3 linked regions of the Drosophila melanogaster genome follow. The protein of the gene in region 3 interacts with the protein of the main gene of each other region in a pairwise test. Each region holds a gene or a part of one and is shown on either strand. Other genes may lie near its edges.

Region 1 (7,824 bases), 2.6 Mb from region 3:
GCAAATAAACGAAAAACTGCAGGAAACAAAACACGGAAGTTGCCCAGGAAGGAAGGCAGGAAGGAAGGAAGCCAGGCAGCGCCACAGCCAAACGTAGTCTGCAAAATGGGAACTTCGGGGGATTGTGGTTCGCGCGTGGGTCCTCCTCCAGAAGAAAAAAAAAAAGAAACATAAAAAATACCCTCCTGGGTTCCATGGCATAGGGGTCTCCGATTTCGCATTCCGGCCTTTTTGGGCTCTTTGGGCTCACTGTCTGTCAGCCAGCAACACGGCACGAAGGCTGGCTGGCAAAAGGCAAATTTAAATTGAAATTTTCCACAGTTGATGTTCTGAAATAACAAACGTGAGCAGCCAGCGAGCACACCTTTGAAAATGGAAGAGGCGGAGGCACACGGGTCGTATGTGTAATGTGGCAGTCTTTTAGCGTCAGCAAGTTAAGCTACTCTGGTAGAGCAAATCATGAAGGTGGAATATATATATAGCAGATCTAAACCCTTCAAAGAAATTGCTGTGTGAGGCTAAGCAATTTGGAGATTACAAAAATATAATGTTAATTATAAACAAAATTTAGGATTAAGTGCCTAATGGTATCAATTCATTTGCTCGAGCCAACTATAGTATAATAAGTATAATTTGCAGAATTTAAAAACAGGCTGTCTTATTATTTCAAATTGTTTCGTGCAAGACCTAACAAGACCTTTTCACATTATTCACTTGCAGCTATGGCAGCAACAACAGCCTGCAGCCGGCACCTGGTCAGGTGGTCAGTGTGGTGCCGAAGAACGACAAGCATGCGATCCTGCAGAGCATCGCCAGCAGCTATCGGCGTGCCGCAGATGCCAGCGATGCAAACGCCTCCAAACCGACACCATCCGCGATTGGTGGTGGCAAGGCCGGTGGTGCGGTGGGCGGTGGTGCTGCCACCCGCAGGCGGAGCTCCGCGCAGCGTCGTCGTGATTGCCGCGTGAGCCACTGGTCCGAGTGGACGGCCTGCAGCAAAAGTTGCGGCGTCGGCGAGATGCATCGCTACCGCAAGGTCATAAAGCACGGCAAGAGGGGCGGACGACAGTGCCCGGCGCTCCAGCAGTCCAAGTGGTGCGGCACCGAGCGCAACTGTCACGGGTCGCAGACCTATTTTAATTGGTAAGTGTGCCGCGCCGCGGAAAACTCAATCAAATTAGTGTTACACTGCAAACAATTTCAATTCATTAATATTAATTAAATTGGAATTTAATTCAATTTCGCATTTCACATCAAATTTATATACACAATCGAAAAGGGGAAGTCCTTTGTTTTTATATAGATAACACAAAAAATCCATAATAGATTGATATTTTTATATTTTTTTGTTCTTTGACTCACCCCACAAGTATATACAATTAAAATATATATATGTCCGATTCGATTTCAGGTCCGATTCCGACACATGAACGATCCACTTGGCGGAGGCACAGGCGATATAAATATAATTTTAATTTAAGGCGTAAGAATTGCTTTTTCTGTGTGAACAAGAAAGACCAGCCAGGCCGTTAGGAGTGTGGTTCATCCCGCAAGGAGATTTTAATTTAACTTTACATTATCAAATGACATTGTTTTTAACGCAGACGGCAGAGACTTCAATTAAAAATGGATTAAATTAGAGGCGACGATGGGGAAGACTACTGACAATATTAAAAAACACAAGAAAGATTTAGACACAGGACACAGAGGATTGGAGTCATTCGTCCTGCGGATGTCGATTCAAACATTCTTATGTTTATGTGTTCACATTGATTTATATTTTTTTTTTCGTTGCTTTAGCTCTAAATAATATGTAAAAAAATCATCATAAAATATAAAAAATGAAGAAAAAAAAAACAAAACATTGAACAGTAGACGTACAAAGTTTAGAAAGCAAATCAAAGTAAACAAGAAGCGTGAAAATTTGCATACCCAAACAAGGAAAAATGGAAACAAAACCAAATGAAAAACCAAACACAGCACACTTGAACCTATAAGCGTGGAGCCAAAGTGTGTTGTTCAGCAACTAAGCTAATATTAGATGTAAACTAAGCTAACTAATAACTTAAAATGGATTGCAATAAAAGTCAACCCCAAAAAGAACTCACTTGAATTGAAATTATATTGAAAATAAATCTGTAATAAGGAGGAAGTAATAGTTAATGACATCGGTCAATTAACAATTACATGGATATACAAACATTTACTCAGAATTTGGAACGAGGACCAGTAAAAAAAAGTCATAAAAATGCCTAAGCTATTAGTTGTAAGACAATCCCAAGTTCCAAGCAGGAGAACCAATAAATATTGCAATTCCAATAGTCCAATTCCTCATTGGGCCATCCTGTTGCGACATTTAATAAGCAAGGGCAGCAGAAGCTTCAGAAATCCGGACACTATGAGACATAATCCCGCAAAGCAAAAGGCAGCAGAATAGTTTCCCGTGATGCCTATCAATTTACCAGCAATTGTAGTCCCAATAAAGGCGCCCATTCCCATGGCCAATGAGGTAATCCCAAAAGCGTTGGTCAGTTTTGAAAGTCCCAGGTATTTCACGTATATCAAACCTCTCAGTGTGGAATAAACAGCTATTCCATGGAAATGAGAGAGGGTAATATTGTAAACTTAAGTAAGGTAAGTAAATGTACGCACCAGGCGCTACAGCATAGGAGAAGCCATACAGAAACTGGAACCAAATCAAGTTCTCTCCATAGAAGGCGCTAATCAAAACGGAAACACCACCGAAAATTAGACCACAACCACAAAGTCCGAGGGTCCAACTACGCCTTTTGTAAGCGAGGATGCCAAGGATGTTTCTCATCACAAGATTACTAATTCCGATAATGGGGCCGATCATACGGGCATATTCGACGGGGATCGTGGTTCGTGCAGACGAGTAAACAAAGGGTATATTAAAGCCCATCGGGAACAGAAAGGCGGACGCCACCAGAATCTTGAACTCAAACTGTTTCAGCAGGCGGTAGTCGAATAGTTTGAGCACAGTGAGCATAAACCGGCTATTCCTACAGGAATTTTGCTTTTTCTGATTCTCGTTTGACCATCTTCGTTCCCTATGAACTCTAGAAATCCTATCGGGTTCATCATCCACACGAATGTTCTTGATGCCATAGTTCACTTGCTGGGTCTAAGTGAAAGTTGGTGGTGTTCTTAAGTTGAAGCGAATTTATTCTTAATACAACACTTACGTTCTTATCCGATCCCATTAGTAGGAACTCCTTGCCGTCGACGTTCTCCTTGCTGTGCGGCTTTTCGTATTCGGCAGGACCCGTATAGAAGAGATCCTCCCGCTCCAGGGGCGCCGGGCGGATGAGCAGATTCTGCTCATCAGCATTTTGCGACTTCTTCCGCCGCCTCCAACAACAGTTCGAACAGGAGGGGCAGAACTTGGCGCATCCTTTCTTTTTTGGGCGTGGCTCATATGTACTTAGGATACTCCGGCTTTTAGCAGTCATCGCGGATTGACGTAAATAGTCATGCACGTAGAAGTTGCCGTAATACTCATCCGAACTGGTATCCGAAGAACCGGGTAAATGGTACATGCCCACCTGGGTGGGAGCCACCTCCACATAGGCGACCACCATCAACAGGATCAACATTATCAGCCCCGCCTGCGTCCGCAGCATGTTCCTCCATCCGATGATTGGCACCAGCCAGCTGTTGAGGAACGTGAAGAGTACTATGCCCGCACCGCCACCGCTGCAGGAAAATCCATTGGCCATCGGACGGTACCGCTCAAAGTAGTAGCCAACAATCAGCTGCGAACTTGCCCAGATCATGCTCAACGTAATACCACCTGCGCAGGCTAGTACTATTATTCATCGAATATCGTACAGCAATCTAGAATCAACCTACCAAGGACGCTGTAAAAGAAGATCAGCATGGTCAAGCTGACGCTCCAACTGGACGCCAGTATTGAAACTGCGGAACACAGGACCCCAGCGATGGCTACCTTTCGGAAACCAAAACGATTTATCAGGACAGCAGAAAACGCTCCGCTAGTGAAGTAGCAACCAATCTGGACACTGGCCACAAACGATACCGACGATATGGAGACATCCAGATCCTGGGCAATGGATGGCAATAAGACCCCAATGGTAAAAATTAAACCATCGATTATCAGCTGGGCGAGGAAGGACAGCACCATGATTACCCAACCGAATCCGCCGTCCGGTGGTATCACCATATAGATCTGTGGATGACAAGAGTCGTCATTCGTTTCTCAATTCACCACCACAAGAATGCTATTCACTCACTTACAAAAACCATACCGGAGCCAAGTCGTCTTCCACCACGGCTAAAGTCAAAGGACTCCTTCGAATTTTTACTTTCCATGTCGAACGATTGCTTGCGCGTTCGATTTCCGTCGTATTCGCTGAAAGATTCCGGCGATGCGGTATCGGCCAACTGTACTGTAGTTACATTGAACGAGAGACCCGATTCCTGTTGATCGGTTTCCTTAGGGACCACATATGAATCCTCGGAATCGTATTTGGGAATCAAGGGGGATCCTGTAAGAAGGCTACAGTTTTAGCTACAAGAAATGCATTTGGTAGGTTCCTCAATTTCAAGCAAATGGCCAAAAATAGCTTAGACAAAATTCAATTGCATGACAATAAAATAAAAATAAAAAAAAAAACATTTTTGTAAAAAGGAAGGCAGCGCTATGATAACTTACTCTTTTTATAAAACTTTTGCGTTTTGGTAATGAGTGGTTCTGCCCTATCATATTCATCCGTATAGCTAGTAAAGCTCAACATCTGAGACACCTCATCTGTGCTCTCGATATATTCATTCTCATTATCCCTGTGTGTGGACAATTCCTTGCTAAATCCACGGGTCCTAGAGTATTTTTTCTCAAAGGCCGGTTCCACAAACGGCACCTCAGATATTGGCTCAATTGGCCTAGATGGTGGAATTGCTGGCTGGTTTTTCGAAATCTCAGGCTCATTTGATGCCCCCACAAGCATATGGGGAAATCTTCTGATAGGCAGCTTGGGAAGAAAAGTTGGATTAAAGCTTTCGTAGAACGAAGGCAAATCCACTTCACTCCCGTGAGACTGACTAAGGGACAAGAATGATGTGCGCCCATTCAGGATATCCGTTGAAACTGTGCCGACGGCCACACTGACCATTTGTGGTCGCGTGTTTCGCGTATCATTGTAATAGATGGATGAGTTTTGAACCGAGATGTCCAGCCTGGACAGAGATTGGGATCTCAAGCTACTTCCACTTGGCTGTGCAGCGGCGGTCTTATCTTCATATTGGCTGCTGGGGAAGCTGAAAAACAGAGGGATTTGGTCGAGTTGAGTGCTTTGCTGGGCGAACAGACTCAGTCACCTTCGCCTACGATTCCTGCTCATTTTTCGACTCTGTCGCAGAGTGTTCCTGACATCTTTCACAAATCTCTCTGCGTCTCGACCCGAACCCAATGCACAGTGGCTGGCTACGTGTCTGGCTGCAAGATGAGAAGCCCCAGCAACAGGAACGGGAATTCATGGGGATTCGTGGGATTCGGGAACTGTCGCCAGACATTAGCTGCTCCTGGCTACCAAATGCTGTCATGGCTGCCAGGCGAGCGTGACAAACGGAGTTGGTTGGTAGTTGCTTGTTGGTGACCCCCAGTTGCTCCTCCTCCGCAATTGCCCCACTGCAACTGTTACTTTTTAGCCATCGCCTCGCCATCGCCATCTTCTTTTGCCTGGCGAATCCCTATTGCCACAACCCGATCCCAGCTCCGTTCCACCCGCTTGCCTGTTTATTTTGGGGCCGAAACAAAATTGCATCAGTGCAATTTCATTGATTGTAAGTAAATGAAATCATTCCTTAGTCGTCTGAGTTTTGCACGGAGAGCGGAGCGATTGGAGTGGAGCGGCTAAAGTGCATCTCAGCTTTAGGGGCAGTAACTTCATTGGCAGTCACTCAAAGGCAACAAGAGCTGAAGTATTGGGGTCGACTGTTTCCCCAGTTGATTAAATGGAAAGTGATGCCCGGGCTCTTGAATTGGAGGCAGTCGGTCCATGCTTTATGAAACAAACCTCGCCCCTGGAAACTTTAACTAAGCCAGCCCTGCTTTTGCAAAATGAATTACAAACAAAGTGCACTAATTAATTAGCGTAAAGGCCAGCAAACTTTTCGACCAGCCACTTCAGCTTCATCTACACCTTCCCCCCCCCCTGGATTTTTCCTGTTCTCCCGCGGGGGAGCACCGATTGCAGCGGCTATTTTTCCTGGCCAACAACTCTATGCGGAAATTGTTTTTTTCCAAAAGGTTCGCTCGTACGTGCTCGTTTTTTATGGCCCACGTTGTGTTTTCCTATTTTTCGATTTTTTTTCCCCTGAGCGCCTTGAAATCGAAACGGCCAAAAGATTGCGCTGCCAAATTGTTAACAGCAATTGACCCAATTTTATGGGAGCCCTCATGCATGGCCACTCTCGGACGGCAGTGACTCCAATGAAAATAGCGGCGTAAAAGCGAAAACTGCCCCGAGAACAGCAAGCAGCGAGCGGCGACCAACGCGGCGTATACTTATTCTAGTGGACTTCTGTTGTTTTTTTTTTCGCAGGGGGTCAGCTTTGTATGTATATTTTTCGTTCTGTTTTATTTTTTTTTTTTTTTGTTGGGCTTTGTCGTTTGGCTGGCTGCACTCTGTTTGCATTTAACTTGCAAACAAGCTGGGGCAAAAATTCGTAAAGTGAAGGTTGCGTTGCCTATTTTTTCTTTATTGTTATTTGCCTGCAAATCAAGGCAGCTGGACATTGCAAATTCGCTGGCATCGAATCCATTCGCAATTAACTGCAGAACAAACAAGGAAAACCCATTTGGTCCGTGGCCCGGAAAAGGCTCAATTCGCGACAGTATTCGAGGAATTACACACTTAAATCTGGAATCCATAGAGAAGTAGCTGTTGAAATGTAAATAAAATAGATCCCATCATGGCGGCCTTGGACTAGATTTCTTGCCAACTATTGGTTCAGCACCTTGGTGTTAGCCAGATCAAAGCAGAGCGTTCGCCTGTACAGACCAAAATTTCGTGTCTCTCAACCTGCCACAGCACCGGTTCCAATCCAAAACCTCCGTTTAGTTATGTTTCTGGCCAAAAGTTCATCAATACTTCGCCCGCAGCTTCTTAATGAGGTGAAGGGACTAGTGAAGTCACAATTTCTGGCTCTGTCACAGGTCGACCGACGCTTTGCCCACTCGGACGATAGGTGCGCCAATAAGAAATCCAGGAAGTGCGAGCAGAGCCCACCCAAGGGTGTAGGTTTGCCCCCCCGGGATCGAAGACATTCTCATACGGATGGCGTCAGTGATAAGTGCGCGAAGAACAAAAAAGATAAGCGGGAGTGCAAGAAGTTTGAGTCCGAGAATGCCAAAAAGCCGGAATGCAAACCGCCCGTTGTCCGTGCTCCAAAATACTACAAGCAGCTAAAACCGTGCAAGACCGACAAGGAGCTCTCCGAGCTGCATCCCAAGTATCTGGGTGTATGGGGTCGTTGCGACATACCCTACAAGCCAGAGCCCGATTGCACCGATCCCTGTGATTTGGCCGTACGTTTGGATGACAAGTACTACAAGCCCAGCAAATCGCTGGACCGCGAATTCGACCAGTACTGGGTGGAGTGCTTCTTCCGGAAGCAGAAACGCTGCTGCCGCAAGGTTGCTCCTGAGCGCACTTACCGCGTGTTAACCAAAAAGTGCGTTTCCGCTCCGAAGAAGGCGCCTTGCTTCACCGTCAATCCCATGCCATGCAAACAAGAGGCCAAAACCAGCCCCTGTCCCAAGATCAAGCTATGCGAGTGTCC
Region 2 (5,764 bases), about 12 Mb from region 3:
TGTGGGGTGCGGGTTGGGGAGGGATGGGGTATTCTTGGGCTGCACTTGGTGGCACTTGGTGGTGCGGGAAGTTGGAAGGTAGTCTTATTTCAATTTACAACCAAGTGACGAAGTATCACAATTCAATGTTTAAAGTTTTTATCACGTTGTGGACAACAACAACTGTAGCGAAAACACAGCGCCACACTCCAACAAAACTAATGCGAACAGTGGAGCCTCATAATGGACTAATCCGTATCGAATGTAATCTTAAAACATTTCAATTTTAACCGCCACTTGTAAGTATGCAACACCAAAGGTAGATCCTACAGACACAATATTGTCAGGCTAGCAAGGCTTCACTGTACTTGCTTGCCGGCTGGCAGGCGAATACAAACAAACAAATGGAGCAACTGCAGCTAACTGCCAGGCGACAGATGCGGGCAGATGCGAGGGGCAGGACGGAGGCAGGAGGCAGGAACGAGGGGATAGGGAGCCCCACATACTGGGGCATGGGCATGGGCATGGGCAGTATGCAAAGCCTTCCCCCTTTTGGCACCGCGCAATATGGTTAATATGGCGCGACATTTCGTCCGCCGCCGTTCGCTCAGCTCGTTCGCTTAGTCAGCCCGCTGCGCTCGATGCTCGCGGGGCTATCCGCAGGGGCAGGGGGAGGGGTAGTGGGGAGTATGGGGGGCACTAAATGTTTAGTAACCAACTGAAATAGTAGCACTCGTGTTAGTATCGGTTCATGAAAAACGAACGGCAGCGAAATAGAATTGAACGAAAAATAAATGAGAGCCACTTCGGTTTACACAGAGTTTCGCATGTAGCTACACGACTTGCACTTGGATTTGAATATGAATGCGCCACAGACGGGGTCAGCATTATAGGGCCATCATATAGTAACCACATTGGGTTTGAACAATGGAGTAGAAGCACAAATACTAAGTTGTTGAATCTGAAATACGCTAGTAACAATCATATTTCAAGTATGTTCCTATACCATTTCGCCTAGTTGGCTGACCCCAGCTGTATCTGCATGATCAGGGGCGTGGCCAGAGGGGTGGCGGTGGAAAGTGGTAGCAAACGTCGTCAGCGTAAACTGATTACCACCGGACAATCTATGGAGCTGAACTAGCGGCACGTACACAGCGTTTTTGGGGCCAAAACCCGAGATGGGGGCTTACGGGGCTCCGGTGCTACGATGGGAACCTTCGTTTAGGGAGTTGGGTTCGTCGACGGCCCGAAAAGTTCCAGCTAAAAGCGACTGCACATAGGAAGTCGGAGTTAAGACTTCAATTACAATGGTGCACCACCCATGGGTCGATTGTGAAATTATAGACGAACCACCTTTGGGTTCCACGAATCCGAAATGAGGCGAAACGAAAAGAGTGCGCCAAAAGCCAAAAGCGATTACCAATTAATGGAACGTGCTGCCAGCTAAGATTCAACCACAATTACTACTATTTCCATATGATAAGTTCAACAAACAATGACAATTCTGCATGCATTGACTTCAAGTAAGTTAGCTAACTTACATATGTATGTATGAATCACCTATTTTTGCTCTAATTATCTCAGCCTTTGTATCTCATCGTAACGAACTCATCACCATAACGATTAATCTTATTCACTCAATCGACTCGGAAACTCGCCGTTTTATCGTTATCACCAGCCGGCTAAATTGTTGCGAAACATAGTTGAAATTCCGAGACTTTGGGCCCAACACCCACCGCAAACTGCACGTAGTGAAATTTAGCTGCCAACTAAACCAAACATGCTGCGATCTAGAAAATGTATCTTTCAGATGCACACGCTTTCCACACACACCCACACAACCCCAAGTGCGCACACATAACTCCAGCTTGGCATTCCAACTGACTTTGCACACCGAATGGAACACGTGCTGCATTTGGACCGGCTCGAAGGACCACGACCGGGGAATTGGGGCTAGCAGCGGAGGGCGGAGGGAGTGGATTGGGGCTGGGCCGCCTGGTGGTTCGGTGGCTCGATGGCTTGCAGCCACAGACAATAACAAAGGCCAAGTTGAGTGCAGTTGGCAGCGGTGAGTCATGCTCGCTCGCTCGCTCGCCAGTAGCACACCCACCCACTCACTCGCACTCGCAGCTGCAGTGGGCTCTCTTCGGGAAGAGTGGCATGTGGCATAGTGCTCCCGATAAGAGATTCCTGTTGCTGCTGCTACTATACAACATTGCACAGATCGAGTGAATTGTAAAGGCGAAAACGGGAAATGATGATTACACACTCAGTTTTCCGCCTCTTCCAAAGTCAGAATGGAAATTGGGAAAGTCCTAGAAATTGGAATTTCTTGAAGGGAAGAATTCCAATCTTCAGAGTTAGCCAAGGCCCACTGTGCCTTTCGTTTTGGCACGGCGTCTAAGTGTTCATATGCACATGGCCGCGAGTGTGCTAGTCCCGTTTTTTTTCGTTTTTTTTCGTTTGTTTGTGTTGCCTCGGGCGGCAACTTTAGTGGCAACGGCTAACTTTTAGCAAAAGTTTTAGCAACGAGTACCTGCAACTAACTAAAACCACAGGCACACAGACCCAGAGCTCGAGCGCCGCCCGCAGAAGTTTCCACCACGCATCGAACTATGAAAATCGGAAAAGTTTGCAGACAGAAATTTCCAGCCATGCATCCGCACAATGGCGAAGTGGACGACGCAGTGCGTTCCCCCCGCAACTCACCGCACCGTTCGCCATCGTCATTAAAGCTGGACTCCTCCGCAGGCTTAAACCAATGCAAAAATCCACAAAATCGACACAATTCCGGCAAAAGTAACGAAAATCACACGCGGCGCGCCAAACAAACTTCCAAGAACCAAAGGAACTGTAAACGAACAGCTGTCAAAGTGCGCGCGCTCCAAGAGACGGGGCTGTTATGCGGCGAACAGCTGATGGCGCCAGGGCTGCACAGCAGCGGGCTTTCAAAAGGCACAACTACAGTGAGCACACGAGCAGGTGAACGTTAATATTTAATTACTTGAGCTATTTGAAAACCTCCGAGTTCCTAATCCGCTCCTCCTCCCTCTCCTTGGCATCCGAGTCCGACTCGGAGGACGAGACCTGCCGCTTCCGGCCGGAATGCTCCGATGGCTGGGCGCTGGTCAGCATCCTGGCGGCGATGCGCCGAAAGAACCAGAAGCGACTGAGATAGGCCTCCGCGCCCCGGCTGATGAAGTACAGCTGCAGTGGTCGCTTGCTCCGCTGTGGATGCATCTTCTGATTCGCCCGACTGCGTGAGTGGGAGAACATGAGATCCAGAGCGAAGGTGCAGTGCATCAGATAAATGGCGCCGGCGTACAGAGCCACAATGGCGTTGTCCCGACAGCACGCATAGAAGCTGGGCCAGCGCTCAGTGCGGAACTCCTCCAAAGTGGCCACATACATGTTGGCGTACACGGTGACCATGTGCAGGCCACCCAAGATCCCACCGAACAGCGCCTCGTGCTTCATCGTCGGCCGCTCGGCGTAGAAAGCTCCAATCAGTGATATGAAGCATATGATCACCGAGCCGCCGTACGTTCCGCACAGCAGGAAGATGTGCGGCACACCCTCCTCCATGAAGCAGGTCCAATGGACGAGGCAGCAGCCCAGGCTCAGCAGCAGCTCCATCATCTTGAACAGGAACCAAACGGGCTTCTTGGAGCGCACCTGCATGTTTGCCCGATTAAATGGTTATACTACAATTGTGACAAGATATATAGTATATGTGGATACATTTGGTTCCGCACAACGGACTTTTAGCTACAGGCCACCTACGACTAAAGCAAACTTACGACTAGGATTTAAAGGATAAATAATATTAATAAGTATTGATAAGTATAAGGTATTAATCTAATGTACACTTTTGATGTTAAACAACTCAGCTGAACCGAACTAGGATTACTCGCTCCTCCCACAATTTCTTGTGCAAGCAATGTCCTCTACTTCCGCCAGTATTGGGTGAACCGATGAATCTGCTCCACCAGAGCCGGCATCACCGCCGTAATGGACACGTCCAGGAGGCTCTGCAAGTGCTGCACTGCCTCCTCGTCTGTGAGGCCCAGCTGCAGGTTCTCCTCCACCTTCTTGACCGCCTTGTCGGGCTCGAGAGCGATATCCGGCACAGTGGCGTCCACCATCAGAGAGAACAGGTTGAGCATCACGTTGGCATGCCGCCGCAAGTGCAGGTACGCCGTGTAGCACTGCTTGCGGAACTCGTGGTGATGCTCGGAGCTGATGCCGCCCATGGCCTCCACCATTTCCTTGCTCAGCTTCATTGGCGGCGGCATGGGCTTGGGATCGCGTCCCAGAATGTAGCCGAAATCGATGTGGAAGAGCTTGCCGTTGGTGGTCAGCAAGAGGTTGTCCAAGTGCCGGTCGCCCACACCTGCGAGGAAATTCCAAGGATTAGCGGAATCCACCTGGTTACACTCCTTTAGTCTCACCCAGCAAATAGGTGATCACACAGTAGCCCGCGCAGCTCTTGATGTAGGTGTCCATGACCTCCGCCGAAATGCCGTAGGGTCCATTGTCGCACGGATGATGCTTGCGGAAGAAGTTGTGGATGTTGCCCTCCCGCGCCAGCACCTCCGCCACGGTGCAGGAGTCGACGTACTGGAGGAAGCCGTGCTTGGAGCTGGTGGCCAGCACTTTGTAGGGAGTCAGCTTCAGGTCGAGGTTCTCGCGCCTCAGCAGCTTGTCCATCAAAGTTATCATCTGCAGGATGAGCTGATCCTGGCGCAGATCATCACCGTGCTTGAAAATGGCCGCGTACTCGTGATGGGCAATCGAAGTGACAAAGGTGAGCCTGCGAATAGGATTAAGGATTAGGATTGAAGTATTCAGTGAGTGAGTAGAGTTTGTTGGTTGGTCATGGCGTACTTGGCTGGCATCAGGGCGCTCTTGAAGAGCGATGTGCGCATGGGCACGATCTTGGTGATGTAGATCTCCGGATCCAGGGGAAACGGAATGGGCTCGAAGTTGGTGAAGTTCACCTTGAACATGTCCTGTTCGGCCAACAGTTTCTGGAACTTCTCAGTCTTCTTATTGCGATTTCCCGGCTCCTTGGCCACCAGTTTCACCAGTTTGACCAGCTCGTCGATGAAGCGCCGCTGCTTCCGGAGGTTGTAGAAGATGCCTCTCAGGTTGAAGTTGCCTGTGCGGATGAGCGGATTAGAGAATTAGGGAATTAGAGAATGAGCCATGATTTCGTTAAATTACACCCACCGTTCTCTAGCACCTTCAGAAACATCTTGAGCACCATGGCGTACATGTCGTGGGCCCTCTCGTCCTGCTTCCTCACCGACTCCACTTCCTCCACCTCGATGGACAAGTACCAGTAGAAGTAGTTGGCCAGCGTGGCGTTCGTGCAAGCGCGCTGGATCAGGAATGTGCAGAGATTGGCTGGAACACTGCCGAAGCTGATGCCCTCGGCCAGCATTAGGGCATTGGAGTTTGAGTCGCAGGGCAACGAGCTGCTGCCCGGAGTGGCGGGAGCAGAGGGGTTTGGCAGCGCAACCGATCCCTGACCACCACTGCCACTGCCACCCGCTGAACCGGGACTCACTGACTTATCGCTCTTGATGGCGGCCAAAACACTGGCCGCTCGCTGATTGGCCGGAATGACCGAGCCGTGGAGTCCACTGCTCGTGGCGCTCAGATCCGATAGGCTGCTCTGGTCCAGCAGAGAGCCGTTGTCGTCCAGGATGGACCGCACCACATCGCGCTCGGGAAAGATGCAGCCATGCAGGTGGACAATGTGCCGCGGATCCTCGTACTT
Region 3 (7,253 bases):
ACAGCAATCACCTGACGACCTCGACCCTTGCCATCCTTAGCGCCCTCAATGATACCGGGCAAGTCCAGCAGCTGGATCTTAGCGCCCTTGTACTTAATGCATCCCGGCACAGTGGTCAACGTTGTGAATTCGTATGCCGCCACCTCGGAGTAAACGCCAGCCAAGTTGGAGAGCAGTGTGGATTTACCCACAGAAGGAAACCCTACGAATCCCACCCGGGCATCTCCAGTCTTGGCCACCTCGAAGCCAGCTGGAAATACATAATGTTTAGTGATTGCCTGAATTATATATCCAAGAGCCTACCTTCGCCGGTTCCGCCGCCGCCTCCTTTGGGGGAAATCAGTTCGCGTCGCAGCTTAGCCAGCTTCGCCTTCAGTAGACCCAAATGGGCCGAGGTGGCCTTGTTCTTTTGGGTTCGGGCCATCTAGGATTCAGTTGAGAAGGTGGTCCAACAACCCGGTGATTTAGATAGAATCCAGGGGGGAATCCGCGGGGTAAATGGATGCGAGACAGGTTAGTTTCTGTAAGATCGGCAGGTACTCCAAGTTCCACTCACCTCCGACTCGATGGCCGAGATTTTCTCCAATATTGTGCTCATGGCTGGCTGAGAGTTAAACGCGGTTCACAGAAAACCCCAGTTATCAACAAATATGCATGTAAAAATAAAATATATAAAACTCTCGCGTGGACAGTTGGAGGTGCAATCGATATGTATTCGATACAATCGATTTGTTCAGTAATGTGGTCGATTCCCAACGTTAGCCAACACTTAACGAATCGTAAAAGTATTCTTAGACAAAATTAAAATGGTCAGGCTGATTGGAATATAGCCGTTACAATTTGATGGCTGCAAGAATGTTTGCTAAAGGTTAAGTTCCGCAATTAAATACTGAGAACTATTTATAAATTAACAAAAAATTAACATTGTTTCAGTTAAACCGCGCACCCCTCTGGGTAACAACCAAGCTCAATTTAAGAGCCAACTGACCAACAACGTCTCGCAATTGAATCGCAGTTTTCCAACGGCCGCTGAACTTTTGCGCAAAAATAGCACCCAATTGCGGCAAACAAAACTAACTGTCTGTCGTAAGGATAATAAGCTAATATACGATGGATTCGTGGAGGAAGCTGTGAAAGTTCAGCCCAAAAAGGAGAACGTTCCATCACCGATTATTCTGGAAAAATCCAGTTGCGAAATGTCAGCCAAAAAGGAATCAGCGGAGTTGCCAAGCTCCCCGATGTTGAAGCCAGGACGAAACTTAATTAGTTTAATTGGTCGCGTGGATTTCTGCCTTAAAACTCAAAAAATGTATCCGGAAATTAATGCTATTTGGAATGTTTACGGTGGGTCTGAACTGAAATACATTCAAAATCAAATTACTATATACATTTTAAACAGAATGATTAATATCGCTAAATTTGGCAAGTTAAATCATTAATTATCGTTTTTCAGGAAAATTGCTACGGATCATTGTGGGAAAACGTGGAGAACACACCTTGCTCGTGCGAAACAAAGAATCGGGGCCCGTCCTTCAGGGAATTTACTACGATTTCGAAGGCGTTATGAGTACTTGGAGCCCAGGTAAAATGCAGGAAACTGATAACCATTACATAACCAAAGTTTTATTCATTAAAAGGCTGCTTTGTCCATCTCGTGGGCCAGTTTATTGGCGAAAATCGCTTGAAAACATTTAAGATTGACCAGGTAAGCGACATTGACTGGCAACAGCAATTTCTGCGCATTGAAAATGTTACCTCGTATATTTTATTGCAAAACACTATGCAAAAGTAATTTATTTTTTAAGGATACAGTTTTCTTGAGATTTTTAGGCCAGGCGATAGTGTACTTTTCACAAGGTATAAATATGCTAGCCTAAGCTTTTCGATCCTGGCCTCCAATCAACAGTGAAATGTTTCATTTTGTACTTTTGTAGTTTACAAATCATGAATAATTTATAGAGTTAGTAACTTATAATTAATATACCTAGGAAATAAGTTAGCTTCAAAATGCCCCCTGACGATTCTCTCCAGGAGCATTGCACAGTTTCAAGGACTACAACAAATACAAATTCCGAAGTGGGCGTATAAAGTCTAATACTGGTGAACTTATTGAACTAATTGGAAGGAAATGGGTATTCAGTTCTACGAGTACAAGTCGAAGTACATGAAGACCGTGACCAGAAATCCGCAGAACAGGGCGCACAAGTAGCCCAAGTGCATCGAGGCAGTCTTCTCCTCGCGGAAACTGCAAATTGAAGTAAAGACTCCATGTTATAATGAATAATTAAAGGTGATTTCCCCAGAGCTTACCGTTTCTTGGAACGCGGCGTAAAGGGCGAGGGGGGATTTACGCCGGGCACCGCGCTGTCCAAGTACACGATTCCGTACGCGAAAGCTGCCACTAGAAGGCCACACAGCAGGGGACTCAGCCTGGAGCCCAGCTGGTGCCTGGTGGCCCACACCAAGGTCTCGTTCCACCTACTCTGCACCTGGTGGCTCAGCACCTGGATGGAATCGCCCGTGATGTATGGCACTGCAAAGAGAACGCCCAAAGCTCGTTAGTATCTCATTTTGAGTGTCGTTCTATTGATTTCACTGTTATCAGTCCTAGCGTGATAAACACGTCAAAATGTTGGGTTTATAACTAGGGTGGTTCAAATTTATTAGTCAGATATGTACGCTATGAGGGAATCAAAGCAATTTGGCTAAATGGAAAGAATTAGTGGGCAAAGAAATTTGCAAAAATGTACAGAAACCCCATTCGTTACACCATAAATAGCAAGGTTGCGCTTTTTATAGATTTGGACCGATGGGAAAGATTGGAAATAAATATTCGTTTGTATTGGTTTAATTATTTCTTTTCTCGACAATGTATAAAATTTGTTTTCTGCTTATATCAAATTTATATGTTTGAATTATTTAACAAATAGTTGATTAAACATGTGTTTTTTCTTTGAGCTTTGTTAAACTTTATTAAATTTTTTGTCGCACTTTTTTTGGAGCCACCCTAATGCAAAACCTGCAGCAAATAAAGATTGCTATATCGTCAGAAATGTAAAATTCGTTATTTTCCTGGGCCTTCTAGCGGTACCTTCTAATGTTTATATTACATACATTAGAATATACATGTATGTGTCGCGTGACGAAAGCCCAGTGCTAAATACCGTTAAGCTAAGCGTAGATGAATAACTAATAGCCGCTGGGCAAACAATTAACTAACTAATGGCATTTTGCCTCAAAGATGAAGCAACTAATCACTCTTTGACGATTTTTCTAAGGTCTTCAGTACGTTTGTATGCAAATGAGACGGCTAATGCGCATCAAACAATTTGCCTTCCTTATATAGACGTTTTTTCGCTATTCGGCGGCTTATGCAGGGGGAACAAACACCACCGCTATGAGATCACACGAACTTCAACTATTTATAAACGCGAGAATATAAACAAAGTGCGAGTAAAGACGACGCAACCGACAATTGCAACCTTGAATTCCCACCCCCGCCACACCGGGGATATACAGAAATAAACAAATGGAAATCCAATAAACCCACAATATATTTACGTTTAGCCCCCAGCTTGGCACACTTACTCGTTAAGATGACGCTTTTGTAGCCAATGATAAGAGTCCCAAAGAGAAGGGCCACCTTTTTGATCAGCGGATCGAGGGCGGTCACCACTCCCACTCGCCCCTTTTCCGAGGGTTTAGCAACACCTACGTAGTGCTCAAGTTTCGGATGCGAGGTCTTCGGCGTGGAGGTGTAGATCCGTCCGTTCGGTTGCCCGTTTTTTTTACTTCTGACTGCCGTTGAGAAAATCCCATTGGTTTTGTTTTTCTCCTGCTGGCGATGCGTGACGTCACAGCCGACTTCGGCTGGTTCCACCTGCATTTCGTGGTTTTGCCGGCGTAAGCTTTGTTTGGAATTAGTTTTCGTTGTTCGAACTGCGCGGCAAAACAACAATCAGTGTCTATTTAACTCGACAATTGTTTGGTTTATTTCACAATAGCACAAAAACAACAAGAAAAACGTCACACCCCCGAAAAAAAACAACGCAGAAAATGCAATTGGAACTAGTGATGGGAGAGTTGATGTTGCACCGTGAACTATCGACGGCCTCTTATCGATAGTTCATTTGTTATCAATATTCAAATTAGTTTTAGCCCTCCTAAGAGCGACTTTGAAATTGAAAAGAAAAAAGTTAGAAACAAAAATTATATTTTAGCCATTTTTTAAACTTACTTTATATTAAAAAAGTACAACATTTTAATAATTTAAACTAAAAGCCCATTTTCGATATCCATTTTAACATTTAAATAATAATCATACGTTTATTTGTAATTTAAAAACCATAATAATTGTTTAATGTACATGTTTTATAGTTTAATGTGTGTATTCATTTTATTTTTATCTTTGTAGTTTTCTTTCCAATTCTTACGCTTTTAGGTTTTCTTTTTGAATGCATTTTGAATGCATACTTGTTGAATTTAACGAGACAATTGTATGTATTATGATGATGTTACATTAACTAAAAATTAACTGCGATCATAGAAAAGTTAATTTTAATTACTTAATAAGGCTCTGTTTACGTTTTCATTACTTTACTTCGTACTTTAACTTATGCGCGATATACTTTCCTTTTTTTATTCGATATACAATAGTCTAAGAATAATGGTAAAATCAATCAATAAATCAAACACTATAAAAGAACAGGATAAAACATTTTAAATGATAAATAATTACTTTTACAGAGTTGCGGTTAACAGATTTTTCGACACTTTTTTCGTTTTTCTTTTTTTGATGTTTGTGTTTTTGGTGTATCTCACAAAATTGATATAGTACATACTGAATGCGAAACTGAACAATCCGAATTCTGGGTGCTTAGTTGTGAGTTGCATGGTGTGGATAAAGGTAGTGTCGGTTTAACAACTATCGTGGTCTTTCCTACGTCTTAAATATTTAGTTAACTTAGGCGCCTAGACTAAACATAACTAAACTAACAAGTATGCGCTCTCTCCACCTCCAATCTGCGCCATCCCAGCCCCTATGATTTGGCTGAAGCGGCTCCTGCGCGCGTTCGTTTGGCCATGGGCTCCGTAGTGTCAGCCGCTCGTATGTTGTCGAACAGATTGTTCTCCTGAAATCAAATTTCACACACTAGTTAGATTCATTCTCAGTATTTTCCAAGGACCTCACTCACCTGCGGATTTTCATCATCCATGATTGACTGTTCCGCCGGTCTCTTTGGAGCCACTGCTGCTCGCGACGTTGTCATTGCTGTTGCGGCAGCTTTGCTCGTGGATTTGGCTCCCAGCGTATACACGTCCAGCGGTATATAGACGTCATTGTTTTGGAAATTCGCAACGGCAGGCTCTTTATAATACATTTCTGGCAAAGCCAGCGGCATGGAAAAGGTGCTCGTGTTGCCATCAAATGGACTGAACTTGGAGTCGATAATGTACATGGCAAGATCGCAGAGCGCCCACATTTTCTGATAACCGAAAAATATATGTATAAATATAATTTAGAAGGGAAAGCCTGGGAAAATGATTGAGTGACATACATAGTTGTCGCGCTTGTCCGACCCCAGACTGAACTCGCGATGCTTTATCAGCTGCAGCAGCTGCTTGTAGAAGCTATGGACAAACGTTTCTCGTTTGGCCATCAGCGGCTCCAGAATGAAACGCAGGCACTTCTCCATCTTGCGCAGCTGTACGTAGTCCTCGTGATTCGTGAAGCGTGGATCGTGGACCAGCACGGGAATAGCGAAAGCCAGCATGTAGTCAGGTAGTATGTGTAATGATTGTGACTCCGTTGAGCTGTCGGGAGCTGGAATAATTTGATTTAATGGTTAAAATACACAATATGATTCCAAAAGTAAAACACCTACATGTCATAGCCACAGTCTTGAGATATTCCCGCCGTTTGTTTACATCCGTTTCTGCATAGTGACGCACAAGGTCTTGCAATCTGTTGAAAATATTTATCAATACTTCTCCGAACGGATCGGATGGTTTCTTGAACTACTCACTTCCTCTCAGTCTCTAGACCAGCCAGCACATACAAGCCCATGAAGTCCAGCGGCAAACAGTTCCTGGGCAAACTTCTGCTTAATCCTTTGTGCAGCTTGCGAGCAAAGATTTCCCGAACTTCTGGCACCGGATCAGCCTACGGGAACACCGAGATAGACATTGAGACTAAGTTCTAAGCACAAGATGAATGTCTCTACTCACCATCAGCTGGGAAAGCTGCAAATACTGCTCAGCGCTGTACTGATCACCTACGCCCTTTTGTTCGCACACTTTGAGCATGGCGCAGGCTGCCCCGAGGCGCAGCCAAGATTTCTCGGCACCGCAAAGACGGTTCTGGCCGAGCAAATCGCCTCGTTGGTTAACAAACGCCGCCAGCATTCGGAATGTTTTCTGGGCAGCGTGCTCATCGGTACGCAATCCCAAAAGCCACCTGGCCATAGCCTTGAGCGCATCCAGCTTACATAGAGTGTCCGGCGGTAGTTTCTCTTGGGCACACCAATCACTGTCCTCTGGCAGTTCGTAGTCTCGCTGCGCAGGAACTTCTTGGATAAGCAGCTCTTTGACAATTCGTCGCGCAATCATATTCTTAATGGGCGTTAGGAAGGCCTGTGGCATATTGTAGGCAATGTGACCCAAGGTCACAATCTTTGTGCGCTGATGCTCACAGTTTGGTGTCAGTTTTAGGCGAAGCGTCTCGATGATCTCGTTGAAAATAGGATGCACTGTTTGTGTAGTTGTGGACGCACTTCCAGCTCCACTTGTTGCTCCATCAGTGGAAGCCGACGACTGGCTGTTTACGAAAATACATCGCACCGCGTGCTTTGCTTGCTTGGGGGTTCCAATAAGTGCGAAGTCCTTGCACACCGGAGCCAGCTCGTCGAGAATAGCCGGTGTAGGGTCGTCAATGAGTGGCTGATAGCGCCCCAGATGAGTTAGTGTCTTTAGCACCAGTGGTGCAACATAATCCTGCTCGTAACTGAGCAGGGAAATTAAATGACGCAGCGAAGTATCGGTGAAGAAATGAGCCGAAAAGACGTATGAAAGCATCTGCAAGTATAAAGCAATCAAATGGATTTCTGTATCATAACTTAAATTATCTCTATACTCACGGCCAACAACTTGAGTCCGCGCTCGCCCGCTTCCTGAGCCGAAATTCCGATCTCTTCACACATGGACCCTTTCTCGATGCATTGTTCAATTAGGCTGAGCAAAAAGATTACCGGATT

Evidence for each region.
Region 1: the proteins of CG8321 (region 3) and Targ interact in a two-hybrid assay, tested with the Drosophila melanogaster proteins (one large-scale study listed by BioGRID).
Region 2: the proteins of CG8321 (region 3) and CG30184 interact in a two-hybrid assay, tested with the Drosophila melanogaster proteins (one large-scale study listed by BioGRID).

The regions. Positions count from the first base shown.
Region 1 is NT_033778.4:14,665,973-14,673,796, reverse strand, and holds Targ (tarag), read right to left. Parts: upstream 5,407-7,824; 5' UTR 5,382-5,406; coding exon 5,359-5,381; intron 5,350-5,358; exon of another isoform or gene 5,299-5,349; coding exon 4,697-5,298; intron 4,530-4,696; coding exon 4,279-4,529; coding exon of another isoform or gene 4,275-4,278; intron 4,211-4,274; coding exon 3,874-4,210; intron 3,824-3,873; coding exon 3,207-3,823; intron 3,146-3,206; coding exon 2,653-3,145; intron 2,589-2,652; coding exon 2,332-2,588; 3' UTR 2,122-2,331; downstream 1-2,121. Other genes in the region: mspo (M-spondin), read left to right, coding at 721-1,143, 1,412-1,430; CG12860 (uncharacterized protein), read left to right, coding at 7,106-7,824.
Region 2 is NT_033778.4:23,561,975-23,567,738, reverse strand, and holds CG30184 (uncharacterized protein), read right to left. Parts: upstream 3,767-5,764; 5' UTR 3,661-3,766; coding exon 2,989-3,660; 3' UTR 2,959-2,988; downstream 1-2,958. Other genes in the region: Pi3K59F (phosphatidylinositol 3-kinase 59F), read right to left, coding at 3,927-4,372, 4,431-4,792, 4,867-5,140, 5,212-5,764.
Region 3 is NT_033778.4:12,030,768-12,038,020, reverse strand, and holds CG8321 (uncharacterized protein), read right to left. Parts: upstream 4,076-7,253; 5' UTR 3,887-4,075; coding exon 3,589-3,886; intron 2,534-3,588; coding exon 2,311-2,533; intron 2,246-2,310; coding exon 2,143-2,245; 3' UTR 1,793-2,142; downstream 1-1,792. Other genes in the region: 128up (upstream of RpIII128), read right to left, coding at 1-250, 304-424, 557-598; CG43191 (uncharacterized protein), read left to right, coding at 856-868, 934-1,344, 1,454-1,582, 1,638-1,792; pds5 (precocious dissociation of sisters 5), read right to left, coding at 5,040-5,132, 5,196-5,486, 5,559-5,824, 5,886-5,965, 6,027-6,163, 6,229-7,074, 7,137-7,230.